3 linked regions of the Macaca fascicularis genome follow. The protein of the gene in region 3 purifies or fractionates together with the protein of the main gene of each other region. This does not show direct contact. Links are inferred from orthologs where the notes say so. Each region holds a gene or a part of one and is shown on either strand. Other genes may lie near its edges.

Evidence for each region. Proteins that work in one complex are often made in the same cells at the same time.
Region 1: the proteins of TMUB1 (region 3) and ERLIN1 purify together in Homo sapiens (affinity purification with mass spectrometry; 3 studies listed by BioGRID and IntAct, with this or other methods). This does not show direct contact. The link is inferred for Macaca fascicularis from reciprocal best matches to the Homo sapiens genes TMUB1 and ERLIN1.
Region 2: the proteins of TMUB1 (region 3) and TMEM259 purify together in Homo sapiens (affinity purification with mass spectrometry; 3 studies listed by BioGRID, with this or other methods). This does not show direct contact. The link is inferred for Macaca fascicularis from reciprocal best matches to the Homo sapiens genes TMUB1 and TMEM259.

The regions. Positions count from the first base shown.
Region 1 is NC_088383.1:109,130,876-109,135,163, forward strand, and holds the start of ERLIN1 (erlin-1), read right to left. Parts: upstream 2,801-4,288; 5' UTR 2,546-2,800; intron 2,385-2,545; 5' UTR 2,374-2,384; coding exon 2,261-2,373; intron 582-2,260; coding exon 500-581; intron 1-499. UniProt on the Homo sapiens protein: Component of the ERLIN1/ERLIN2 complex which mediates the endoplasmic reticulum-associated degradation (ERAD) of inositol 1,4,5-trisphosphate receptors (IP3Rs).
Region 2 is NC_088393.1:1,587,927-1,591,981, forward strand, and holds the start of TMEM259 (membralin), read right to left. Parts: upstream 2,801-4,055; 5' UTR 2,655-2,800; coding exon 2,430-2,654; exon of another isoform or gene 1,713-2,429; intron 1-1,712. UniProt on the Homo sapiens protein: May have a role in the ERAD pathway required for clearance of misfolded proteins in the endoplasmic reticulum (ER). Promotes survival of motor neurons, probably by protecting against ER stress.
Region 3 is NC_088377.1:192,360,959-192,365,243, forward strand, and holds TMUB1 (transmembrane and ubiquitin-like domain-containing protein 1), read right to left. Parts: upstream 2,801-4,285; 5' UTR 2,746-2,800; coding exon 2,650-2,745; intron 2,599-2,649; exon of another isoform or gene 2,498-2,598; intron 1,916-2,497; coding exon 1,497-1,915; intron 1,223-1,496; coding exon 871-1,222; 3' UTR 414-870; downstream 1-413. Other genes in the region: FASTK (fas-activated serine/threonine kinase), read right to left, coding at 13-94. UniProt on the Homo sapiens protein: Involved in sterol-regulated ubiquitination and degradation of HMG-CoA reductase HMGCR. Involved in positive regulation of AMPA-selective glutamate receptor GRIA2 recycling to the cell surface.

The DNA of each region.
Region 1 (4,288 bases), on a different chromosome or scaffold from region 3:
GAGCTTGCAGTGAGCTGAGATCCGGCCACTGCACTCCAGCCTGGGCGACAGAGCCAGACTCCGTCTCAAAAAAAAAAAAAAAAAAAAAAAAATTTTTGATCCTCCATGTTAACAGTAGCCCAGGAGCCTGCCTCTGTGGAAACCAAACACTGTTCTAAACCACATAATCAAATCACTGGTTTGTATGTCTAGTTGTGTTCCTAATTCTTACTTTTATTGCAATAGCAGCAACAAAAAATTTGCTACATATCACAATATAGATGGTAGAAGTCAGTCCTTCCAAGCTACCTGGTTCATACTTTTAATTCATTTCAAGTAAGTGAGGTGGTTTAACATAGTAACTTGTGTTGTAACAACTGTACTCTGAACGTTAACTCCTGCATTTAAGTAAATACCACCATCTGCTTAAGCAATAAGGAAATCTATCTCCACCCAGAAGTGTGGTAACTCCTGTCACACCTGTCTATCTGGTATGGGGGCTTCCCTAGGAATCACTCACCTGCACAGATCTGAATGTAGTAATGAAAGGCAACATGATATGATAGCCTGGTCCACTGGGGCTAGTTAGTAAAGCTCCTCCCCTGCAAAAAGATGTTTCAATTTGACAAAATTATAAAAACAAAAATTATCTTTCTAAATCTAAAATGCTATAATAAATACTCACTCTTGCTCATGCTGCTGACCTACCAAAGCCTCACTAATATGAATTACTCATAATGAACAACTGCTTAAAATACCTCCACACCTAAAAAGGTAAAAAGATCAAATTAAACTGCCAATGTTACACCTTGTTTCATAAGCTCAACCAACCGTACCTCTGCATCTCCAGCACTGCTCTCAGGTTCAAAGGATTCTCCTCGGTCTTTAACCTTCTGAGAAATATTTGTTTAAAAAATTTTAATGGCTTTCAGTAGAGGTACATTAACTGTACATAACAAAAGCCAAATCAAAATATATAATACATTTAATCACCAGGTTGAAAAAAGACAATGCAAACTTTGAAGTAAAGAGAAAATTTCTGAGGCTTATAGTTCTTTCAATCTATCTGCAAGGTAATTAAAATACTGGGAACATAAAATTTCTATATAAAAACAAAAAAAAATTAGCATGAAAAGATGAAGAGTGACAAGACTATATAAACAGGTTAAGGGCCTGTTCACCAAATCCTGGAATGCGAAAACTATGAAAGCAAGCCCTGGAAATTATAAAAAAGGAGGCATTTGGAGAGCAAATAAAACAAAGAAGTCCTATTTTGCACCTTGTAAATTCACAGAACTTAGCTTCCTGTCTTGAAAATATAAACACGTTTGCTAAGTCATAATAACAAGAAAAGATGAACTGTTTGAGGTTCATCACTAATTCTTTGAGTCATTCTTTGAAATGTCCTTTCTCTGGTTTTACTGCCAGAAAGACAATGCTAAACTGGAAGGAAATCTGGACTAATCTGTAATTTCTTATGCTAGAGCTCCATCTGCTAAGATATACCATTAAAATTGTTCTTTTTCTAGGATTCAGGATGGATCTGAAAATAGAAATATCAGTTTTGAGGGATAGTGGAAGCAAGCAAAAAGTTGACCCTCTTTTTGAATACACCATTATCCCAATTTCTTCACAAACTGGCCTCTCTCTTACCAGTCTACATCAAAAGGAACTTGTGGTAATTAGGCTGAAGGAAAAGCTATGAGAGCTCAACAAGAAAGCAACAGCTCCCACACCACTCCTGTCCCCAACTTGAACAGAAACAGTAAAGGGGGAGGAGAATGGCCCATCAGTGTTATGCTTATGTCCCTGGATGTCCAGGGATATAACCACTATCATGGTCATCATGGTGTTACAAGACGTAACTAGACACTGGAAGCTTTTAAATGAAAAAGTCTAAGAAACAATCATAAACAGAACCAAATTTTCTATACAGCATAAAGTCTGTACAGTTGGACAAACTATAATTTATCCATCTCTTCAGTTAGAGGTAGAATGACTACTTTCTTTCTTCCTTCTTCATTTTTCCACAAATAATTTGAGTTTGCTGTGTATAGGAATAACCGTAGGGAGACTTAATCTCTGCAACAAAACGAACATAGCACTAAAACTGTCCAACATCTGGACGGTGTTCCGTAAAAGCCCGCTTCGACCCCCGTGCTTTCCCTAGAGATGGGACATGCGTCCCCGAACGCTGCAGAGGGAACAACTTCCCAGACTCCACTCTGGAGTACCCTTTTAACGTTCTCTAGAGCCCTGACTGACTGCACAAGCCGCTCACCTGTAGTACACAGCCAGGTGGCCCTCCTCAATCTTGTGGATGGAGGCGTAGAGCAGGACAACCACCAACCCCACCACTGCAGCCACCAGGACCCGGGCTTGAGTCATATTCATCCTCGTTCCTCCTGGGAGCGGGAGAAAAGCACCCTCAGTCCCGTGAGTGACAGGTCCACCCCCTCCAGCTTCCACCCTCTCCCTTCGGAAGCCTGGCGCTCTCTCGCAGGCTGAGCCGCGGAGTCCAGTGCCCCAGTCCCCTCATTCTTCCCTTCTGGCGGAGCCCGCTGACCCCTTGCCAACTCCTCCGCCCCTGGAGGCCAGTGGGCCGCCCCTGCTCGGTGACCTTCCTGACACTCTCTCTCCCAAGGGTCTCTCCCAGGTGGAAGGCACTGAGAACGAGCCCAGCCGCAGGCTCGCGAGGAAAGCCGACCCCTCGGCCGCGCCTCACCGATCAGTGACGCATTGCCCCCGCCCGCACGTGCATCCGACTCCCGGGCCAAGCCAACCGCCGCCAACAGCCGGCCCCGCCTACTCGCCCAGTACTGCGGCTGCGCGGGGACGCACACGGCGTAGCCCCGGCCCGCGACTAGTGAGACGGGAAGCGCATGGGACAAAATTATCCTAGCCGCGGACCGCGCAGGGTTTTTGGAGGCAAGTCGCTGTTTTTCGGTACACTGCTGGTTAACTGCTGTGGAAGAGGACAGCCGGGGATCTGGAGTGAGCAGCGAAGCAGAGAAAAGGAAAGGGCCTTTCGGACAAGGGACTGGTTGGTTTGTTCTTGTGCAGAGAACCCACTCGGTCATTCTCAAGCGGTAGCTGTTTGGTTTATGTGTCCTTTTGCAGTGTATGAGGAGCCCCACTGTGTAACACGCACGTACTTCCAGCACAGATCCTGCACTTCAGGAGCAACTAAACTTGTTGCAAATAAAGTGCTGTCAAAGTTCAGAAGAGGAAGACACTACGTATAACTGCATCATTCTCTCGCTTTTTAAGTGTTCCTATTATGTGCCAGAATGCTGGTCCAGTGAGGGCTTTATGAAGGCCATCCAGACAACAGGAACAGAATTGCTAAGCACATGGGGCGGGAGGCAGAGGGAATCCTCCAGGGAGACAAAAGTACTTCAGTTTCCTTGAAGGCTTGTGTGATGGAAAGGAGTGCTATGGTAGGGGTCACTACATATTCTGTTCGTTTTAAATTCTAAACCATGGGCACATATTGCCAAAAATAAAAAAGGGAAGGAAAAAGGTATAGGTGGGAGATAGATGAATACAAGAGAAATCAAGGGCATTCATGGTTTAAGCCTTGAAAGGCTAGAGGTGGAACTATAACTGGACAAGGTGGACTAGGGTTATAAAGACCTTTACAGTCCCCGTAAAGGGGGTGGGGGTGTGTGTGGGTTGCGGGATGAAACTGTTCCACCTCGGCTCATCAGGCATTCTCACAGGGAGCCCGCAACCCTTGCATGTGCAGTTCACAACAGGGTTCATGTGCCTATGAGAATCTGATGCCACTCGCTAATCTGACAGCAGGCCGAGCTCAAGGCGATAATGCGCACTTGCCCGCCGCTCACCTCCTGCTATCGGGCTGGGTTCCTAACAGGCCACTGTCTGGTACCGGTCCGCGGCCCAGGGCTTGAGGACCCCTGCCCTCTTGGGTAGGGAAGTATGGGAAAGCAGTGCTTTAGGGCCAATGAATCTATAAAAGGCTGAAAGTGGAGACAGACTGTTGGCAAGAAAGTCAAGTGGTTAGGAAACTGCAGGCCCAGGGTTACTTTAGTAGTGGAAGTGAGAAGAGGTAAATAGAATCAATTTGTCTTCATTAAAGGAAGCCTTCCCAGACCACTCTACCCACACCCTTCAATAAATACACTTACCTGTATCATTCATTTGATTTTTATTATCTAGGAATGTCTGGGACCTTATCTGTTCCTAATAAATGATATTTGCAGAGCTTAGGTATTTTAACTTCCAAAAAGCAAAAGGAATGGAAAATAACTTGCTCCATACCCTGTTTTCTATAGACATTCTCTTA
Region 2 (4,055 bases), on a different chromosome or scaffold from region 3:
CCAGGCAAGGGTGAGGGGCTGAGGGGCCTCGTGCTGGCTCAGGGCTGGGAGCTCCTGGCATTTCGTGAAGCCACCCAGGCATGGGGGAGGGCCGGGGGGCTCCATGCCAGCTCAGGGCTGGGAGCTCAGCGGCACAGGGGCCACAGAATGAAGAAACCTTGAAGGGACCGCACCAGGGAGGACCTGGCTCTCTGCAGGGAGAGCCCCGGAAGCCGGGTGGGCAGGAAGCAGAAGAGCCTTCTGGAATTCAAGGCAGCCTCTGAGAGCCAGTCCTAGCCTGCAGTTTGCAGATAAGTAAAAGTGAAGGCGGCAAGGTCAGATTCTGAACCACCAGATTACCTGGTGGAGAATTCACAACGAACCGATTTCCCCACCCAGGCCGGGCACGGGGGCTCACACCTGTAATCCCAGCATTTCTGGAGGCCAAGGTGGGCGGGTCGCCTGAAATCAGTTTTGAGACCAGCCTGGCCAACATGGCAAAACCCATGTCTACCAAAAATACAAAAAAAGTAGCTGGTTGTGGTGGCAGGCGCCTGCAGTCCCAGCTACTCGGGAGGCTGAGGCAGAATTCCAGGCTGAGTTCCAGAATTGCTGGAACCCAGGAGGTGGAGGTTGCAGTGAGCCGAGATTGAGCCACTGCATTCCAGCCTGGGCGACAGAGCAAGACTCCATCTCAAAAAAAAAAAAAAAAATTCACCACCCAGAGATCTCGCAGCCCAGAGCCCCCTGCTGAGAGAGGAGGGATGGGGGGCGCTAAGAACCTCCCCAGAATCTCCACCCTCCACAGGAGAGGGGGGACCTCCAGCTCTGGCCCAGCCCCATCTGACCACCTGTGAGTGGTACCTGCCTGGAGATAAGAGTTGGGTAGGCTTGATCCCTTTCCAAACTGGGACGTGGTGGGACGGAAGCCCAGGCAACAGGGATGCACCTCCCAGGGAGGCTGAGCTCTGTCGGGGGCACCTGGCCTGGCACCCAGCACACATCCTCCACAAAGCTAAGGACAGAGCGGCTCCATCCTGGACCCAGGCTACTCCATGGAAGGAAAACCCACGTCCACAGACCAGCCTCCGTCCACAGTTTCAGGTCCCGTCTGTGGACCCCAGAGCAGGGAAAGGCCGCCTGCCCGAGTAACCCTTCACAGTCCTGCTCAGATGCCCAGAGGCAACCACGCCACTCTGGAGGGCTGCAGGGAGGAAGAAGGTGGGAAGGATGACGGGCTGAGCTCTGGCCTGGGGAGGCCACAGATCTGGAGGCTAAGGGGCCTCCCTTGAGGCGGCGGTAGGCTGGGACCCACACGCAGGTCTGCAGGACGGCCAAGCTCCAGCTCCACCTGCTGAGCCCAAAAGAGCAGCCGGCTCCTGACCAACAGGCCTGGCCCGCCAGCGTCAGCCCCCTCTCTGCAGACTAGCTCCAAAAAGCTCACGGCGCAAGTTCAGCACCCCGCCAAGCCCCAGCACTGCGGTGTTCTGATGCAAAACAAAAACGGCCATGTCTCCATTTCCCCAGGTGGTCCAGGACCCCGGCCAACTTGTTTTCTGAGGGGCTGCACCTGCTGCTGAGCCCCTCCTGTCACCCAAGACAGACTCCTTCTCAGAGGGACTCAGGCCAGTACTGCACGGCTGAGACCTCTGTGCCATCTGAGAAGGGCAGGAGGGGGACAGAGGCCAAGACGCAGAGGTCGGTGCCTCATACAGGAGGCACGGGAGACAGACCTGAACTCCTGGGTCAGGAAGGGGGTGGGGACCAAGCGGAGGAGGCCGGGGATGGGCTGGAACGCTGCTGCCGGTGACTTTACCGCTAACCCTAGGGAGGTGACCTCAGCTAAGTCACATTCCCCTGAGGCTCAGGAGAGGGGAACGAGGTGGGGGCAGGTGGAAGCCTACAAGAGAGAGCCCCACCAGGAGGAAGAGTGGGGAGTGGACTTCCAGGGCTGGGGCTGGTCCAAGGGAGCCCTGGGTCAGACTGGGTTCTGGGCCAGCACACGGGGAGTGGAAAGAGGCCTCGGGACTGAGGGTCACAGGCGGCAGAGTCAGGGGTCAAAGGGCGGGAGGTGCTCCGTCGCAGGCCAGGACCGGGCTCCAAGCCTGGGTAGATAGGGACCGGGGAAAGGCGGTCGCCGGGGACAGGATGGTCCCTGGAGGGGGCTGAGATGGAGATTTCCAGAGAACAGCGGCTTCTAGTGCAGTGGCAACCGGCCTTCCCGGGTGTACGTCCCCGGGCGGGATGGGGTCACGAGACGGTGTCCCTGGCCAATCCCAGGGTCAGAGGTCGCGAGGGAGGACCCTAACCGGTAGAGTCGGATCTAGGCCTCGGGGTGCAGGGTGGCGCTCGGTGTCCCCACCGAGGCCAGGGGCCGCAGTCGCAGGTCGCAGACATGGGGGTCAGGCCGGGCGCTGGGGTCAAGGGTCGGGGGTCGGCGCCGCGGTCACCTTGAGCAACACGAAGAACTCGAAGAGACGGCGGAAGGCGGGCGGGAAGAGCCGCGAATAGGTGACAGCCATCTTGAAGAACAGCGCGTGGAACAGCCGGTCGCGCACGTTGATGAGGGGGTTGGGGTTGAGGTTGGGGGTGCGAGGCCCGCGCGCAGGGGCCGGGCCGCCGCCGCCGCCGTTGGGCCCAGGCCCCGGAGCTCCGGGCGCCGCGTGCTCCGACATGCCGCCCAGCGTCGCGCCCTAACGGCCCGCAGGTGTCCGAGGGCGCCTCCCGGCCGCCATCGGCCGCCCTTACCGCCGCCGCGCTCCTTACGGCCGCCCGGCCGCTGCCGCCATCTTCCGCCTCCTCGTCCTGCTGCGGCCCTGCTGACGCTAGCGAGTCGCCACGCCGGGCAAGAGCGGCCCCCCTGCGCCTGCAGGGAACGCTGGGATACCAGCGGCCGCCCGGGGAAGCTTCATCCCCGCCCTGGCCTGCGCCAGGGGGCGAGGCTACATCCGGCCCACGGCTTTTGCATATTGCACCCACAATCCACCGCGTCTAGGAGGCCAGTATAAGACGGTAAAATTTTGATAAGATATGGGATTTTGCGTGACGGAAGACACTCAAAGTAAGTGCAAGCAGAGAATTTATTTGGCAATATACAACTGTAGGAAGTTATGCTAAACATAAGACTGACCATAAGTTCTCCTAACTGTAAGGTAATTAGTTTGAAGGCCTTTAAATAACCGTAGCTGGAACTTTCGGGTCGTGCTCGCTTCGGCAGCACATATACTAAAATTGGAACGATACAGAGAAGATTAGCATGGCCCCTGCGCAAGGATGACACGCAAATTCGTGAAGCGTTCCGTATTTTTGCTTATAGTCCGCAGCTGGTCAGCTCGTTTTGCTTCCCTTCCCCGGACTCCCCGGATGTCCATCTACCCTGGCACCAGAGGTTGGCGATAGGACAATCTGGCCGTCCCCACTCAAGCACCTGCCCCTGTAGCCCTCGGGCAACAGTAAGTAAATGCTCTTCAGGGGCACGTATTGAGTCCCTTGTGCCTACATAAGAGGATACTATGGTTTCTGTTTTTGGGTTTTTTTTGTTTGAGACGGATTCTCGCTCCGTCACCCAGGCTGGAGTGCAGAAGCGCGATCTCGGCTCTCTGCAACCTCCGCCTCCCGGGTTCAAGCGATTCCCCTGCCTCAGCCTCCCAAGTAGCTGGGATTACAGGCATGCGCCACCGCGCCCAGCTCATTTTGTATTTTTGGTAGAGACTGGGTTGCTCCATGTTGGTGAGGCTGGTCTCGAACTCCCAACCTTAGGTGATCTGCCCGCCTCAGCCTCCCAAAGTGCTGGGATTACAGGAATGAGCCACAACGCCCGGTCTAGACAGGGTTTTTTGTAGATCCATGTTGCCTATGGTCTGAACTCTTGAGCTCAAGCAATCTGCCAGCGTCAGCCTCCCAAAGTGCTGGGATTACAGGTGTGACCCACCAAGCCCACCCAAAAAAAAGTTTTGGTTTTTGTTTGTTTGTTTTGACACAGAGTCTCACTGCCGCCCAGGCTGGAGTGCAGTGGCGTGATCTTGGCTCACTGCAACCTCCGCCTCTTGGGTTCAAGCAATTCTCGGCCTCAGCCT
Region 3 (4,285 bases):
CGCCACCCCTACATGACTCCCCGGGCCCTGCGCAGGTCGCTCCCTCAGTCGGTCTCGGGGCCCGGGGGCCGGGTTCCCCCCGCGGCCTCCTCATCGGCTGGCCACCGAGTCCGCCATCTTCCCAGCAGCCCCCAGATAGCCGCCCGGACACCAATCCCGAAACAGCTATCGACCAGCGGAGACGTGGCTCCCGGCAGGCACTGCGAGCCAGGGAGCCGTGAGCTCCGCCCGCGGGAAGTGCGCGCGCGGCACCGGGGGCGGGGCCACGGAGGCCGGCGCCAAAGCCAGAGCAGAAGGCAGGGGAGAAGGGAAAGCGGTGGGCCAGAGCCGAGGGCGCCGTCCGTGCCCTTCTCTCCCAAGGGGCGAGGAGTCCCCGCCCGCCATCCCGCACACACTCAGACACACTGCAAGAGTGAAAACTTCACAGTTACTTTAATCTGCACAAGTTCCGGGGAACTCCTATGCCCCTCCCCTTCACCTGCCTCCCACCGTCCTGGCGTCCCCAACTCAGGCCAAGGAGCTGTCAGGGATTGGAGGCGGCTGGGTCCTCCGGCAGAACGCTAAGACGGGCCCCGGGGGCGGCCGGGCTCTGCCCGGGGCCGAGGCAGCGACAGCAGATGCCCGACCCCGAGGAGCCCACTCCCAGTGCGGACTGAGGGCCAGCAGCCCCGGGAGGTGGCCCCGAGCCCCGGTGGTCGCAGGGCGGGGCCTCTGCCAGCCCCTGGAGTCTTCTGCGGCGCAGGGCTGGGCTCCAGGGCAGCGGGAAGAGGCAGGCCGGAGAGACGGGCCTGGGCAGGCAGCAGCTCCCGCTGCGGCGCGGGGAGCAAGGTCCAGAGGGGCCGGCGACGCTGCCAAACGCCCGCGGAGGCACTACGGGCGGTACATGGCGAAGGCCAGGAGACTGAGGAGCAGGGTGAAGCCGGCCAGGCCCAGAGTGGCGGTCAGGGGAAAGAAGGGCCGGTACTGGATCTGGCAGTACCAGAGCAGCAGCAGCAGCAGGAGCAGCAGGGGCAGCAGCAGGCTGCCGATTTCCAGCCCGGAGGGGCCGGGCTCGGACCCCGGCGGGCAGGGGGGATTTGGGGGGCCGACCCTCGTGGACACGTGGCAGTGGAGAACGCAGTTGGGAGGGAGGTGAAGGCTGCCCAGGGTCTGGGTGTCGTCGCCTAGCAGCTGCCCTTGGTAGATGAGTCGCACCTGCTGTTCCCGGCCAGGAAACTGGGTCCTGAGGAGAGAGGGACCTGGGTAAGAGAGCAGGCCTCAGGCAATCCTAGTCCCTGGCCCCGGAACAACACTCCCACCCTTCCCCTGCCCTCCACAACACACCGGCCCTGGCCTGGGAGGGGCAGACTGCCAAGGGAACAAGTGCAGTTGTGATCTGGGGCGCTCAGCGCCTCCAGTATAAAGGAGGGCTGGGTCTTAGGTCTCTCCTGGGGCCTTCTGTGACCACTCCCCCCACCCCTGTCTTCAGCATTGCTCCTGCCTCTTGACCTACGTACCTTTTCAAGGAGCCAATGGTGTCGTGGGGCCAGGCCCTGGCCACCTGCTCTGAATCATTGAGGAATTTCAGCCGTAGCACGAGGGGCTCCTGCGGGGAGTCCGGGGCTGGTGGTGTTGCTGTGACCCCCGTGCTGGGCTCTGGCTGTGCAGCTTGACCTCTGTGTCTCAGGCTGGGGGTCTCTGCCCCTGGGACCTCCGCTCTCATGGTGTCGGTAGCTGCCATGGCTGCGCTGGGCTGGGATGGCGTTGGGGTCCCTGACGGCTGGGGCAGTGGGTCCCCGCCCTCAGCGGTGTGCGTTGAGACCCAGGCGAGGGCCAGCACCAGAAGGCAGGCAAGCACCGAGAAAAGGACGGTCACCTCATCACCCACCCCTTCAATCAGGGTCATGGCGCCTGCCTTGCCCGCCGCGCTACCGAGCTGGAGAGGCACAAAGAGCCCGTGAGGCGCGGGCCCTCTGACCAGGAGCCCTGGAACCTCCACAGGGTCCTGCCCCCACCCCACCGCGACGCTCCCACCGTCCTCAGCCTGGGTTCCCTCACCCACCCCAGGGTACGGGCTGCTTTGCCTCCCAGTCGCCCCAAACTTGCCTCCGGGTGCCCCTTCCCATCGCCGAATCCCAAGTCCTAACTTTCTGTCATCTGAGCTCGAGGTCTTCAACCAGCTCCCAACTCACCCAAACCCTATCCCAAGGTAAGGGCCTAAGCAACGCCTCCCCTAAACTTCACCCCAGCCAAACTTCACGCCCATGCGTATCTATTCTCCTGCCCACTTCACCCCAGTGTGTCTACTCCTTCACCGACTTCACCCCATGCTCATCTACTCCGTTGCTAAAGTTTCTCCGAGGTGGGGGTAGAGCCTCTGTGCCCCCACCCCCCGCCCCCCGCATTACGGTTCACCTAAACCCCACCCGCGGCACAGGACTGCTTCCCAGGCTTCCCCCACAGCAAACGTCAAACTCCGCCCCTGGGCAATCTGGAGCCTCCGAGCGTCACCACCCACCCAGCTCGGTCCCCTCAACCCCACTCCGCGGAGGCCCAACTCCACGCCTTCTCTGGAAGTGTCTCCAAGCCCCGCGGGCTGCCAGACCCCAGATCCCGCCCGGAATCCGAGACTTCACGTTCCCTACCCCCACCCCTCATCACCCCTCCCACCTTCCCGCCCCCCGGAGCCGCAGGAGGGCACGGCGATCCAGGGCAGGGCGGGCGGGGCCCGGCCGGGGCCCTGGGCGGCGGGGTGGGCGCGGTCATGGCGCGGGGACTCACCGCCCGGCTGCCCCAGCTCCATCGCGGCCCCTCGGACACTTCCGGGCGGGAGGCGCGGAGGTCGCAGGCACCTGAAGCACCCCTCCTTCCTCGCCGCCGCGGCCCGGGGCATTGTGGGACTTGTAGTCCGGCGCCGCTCTGTCTCCGCCCTCCGCCCTGCGGACCCACGTGCTGGGCTCCACCCGCGGTTCTCTGCTCCAGCAGATCGCGGAGGGGTCGGTGGGGACGGCTTTGGGGGGTTGCGCTACCGGCTAGAGGTTTGGGCGGCAGCAGGGTCCGCCCCCTCCCCCGCCAACAGCCAGAGCATCTGTCACACCAGACACCGACGTCAGCTGAAGCACGTCAGAACACCCGTGTTCGTGATGCAGTGAGGAAGGCTCTGAGGAACTCAGGTGGCCCCTACCCTTATGTCAGAGTGGACGCCAGAAGGCACTTTGGCCACCAAAATTAATTCTTCAGCCCAGAGCCCAATATCCATGGGCTGTCCCACTAGGCTGGCCAGGGATACCCATCCTCAGGGCTGCCCCTTTCCTTGGTCCCCTCCTCCACCTTGCTCTTTCAGGACTGTGGAAGAAGCATAGACCTTGGAACCTGGCACAAATCCTGATCCCTTATCCTGTGCTTCTCAGCTATATGACCTTGGGTGGGTTATTGAATCTCTCTAAAGATTAATTTCTTCCTTTCTGAAACATACGTCGTAAGTCAATCATAAGGAAGAAATTAGATGTTTTATTTAAAAGTGTGAAAACTAAGGTACATGTCACACAGTAGCTATTTGCTCACCTCCGCTCAAAGCTGGTCTCTGGAATCGGATCCTGGTGTGTTACTGTGTGGATGACATTGAATCCCAGGCCTGTGGATATCTGTGGATTTTTCCCTCTGGGCTCCTGTAGCCACAGAGATCTCACATCCTGGTTTTTACAGGCCAGTCTTGATTTAAAATAATCTATCCTAGTTTTCCCATAGTTCTTGCCTACTGTGGGAGCAAGTGGCCCAAATATTGCCTTAGGAATGTCAGTCTAGATTGATACCATACAGAACTAACCTATCTAGTTCCATCCCTCCTGTTCATTCATTTATTCTACTAACATATTTTTAAAAGATATACTATGGCCAGGCGCGGTGGCTTATGTCTGTAATCCTGGCACTTTGGGAGACCGAGGTAGGTGGATCACTGAGGTCAGGAGTTCGAGACCAGCCTGGCCAACATGGTAAAAGCCCATCTCTACTAAAAAAAAAAAAATACAAAAATTAGTTGGATGTGGTGGAGGGTGCCTGTAATTCCAGCTACTCAGGAGGCTGAGGCAGGAGAATCACTTGAACGTGGGAGGTGGAGGTTGCAGTGAGCTGAGATCGAGCCACTGCACTCCAACCTGGGCAACAGAGTGAGACTCTGTCTTGAAATATATATATGCATATATATATATATATATATATATATATATATATATGCACACACACTATTTGCCAGGCATTGTGCAAGATACTGGGAATAAAATGGTGAATCAGACCATCTTCCTGCCCT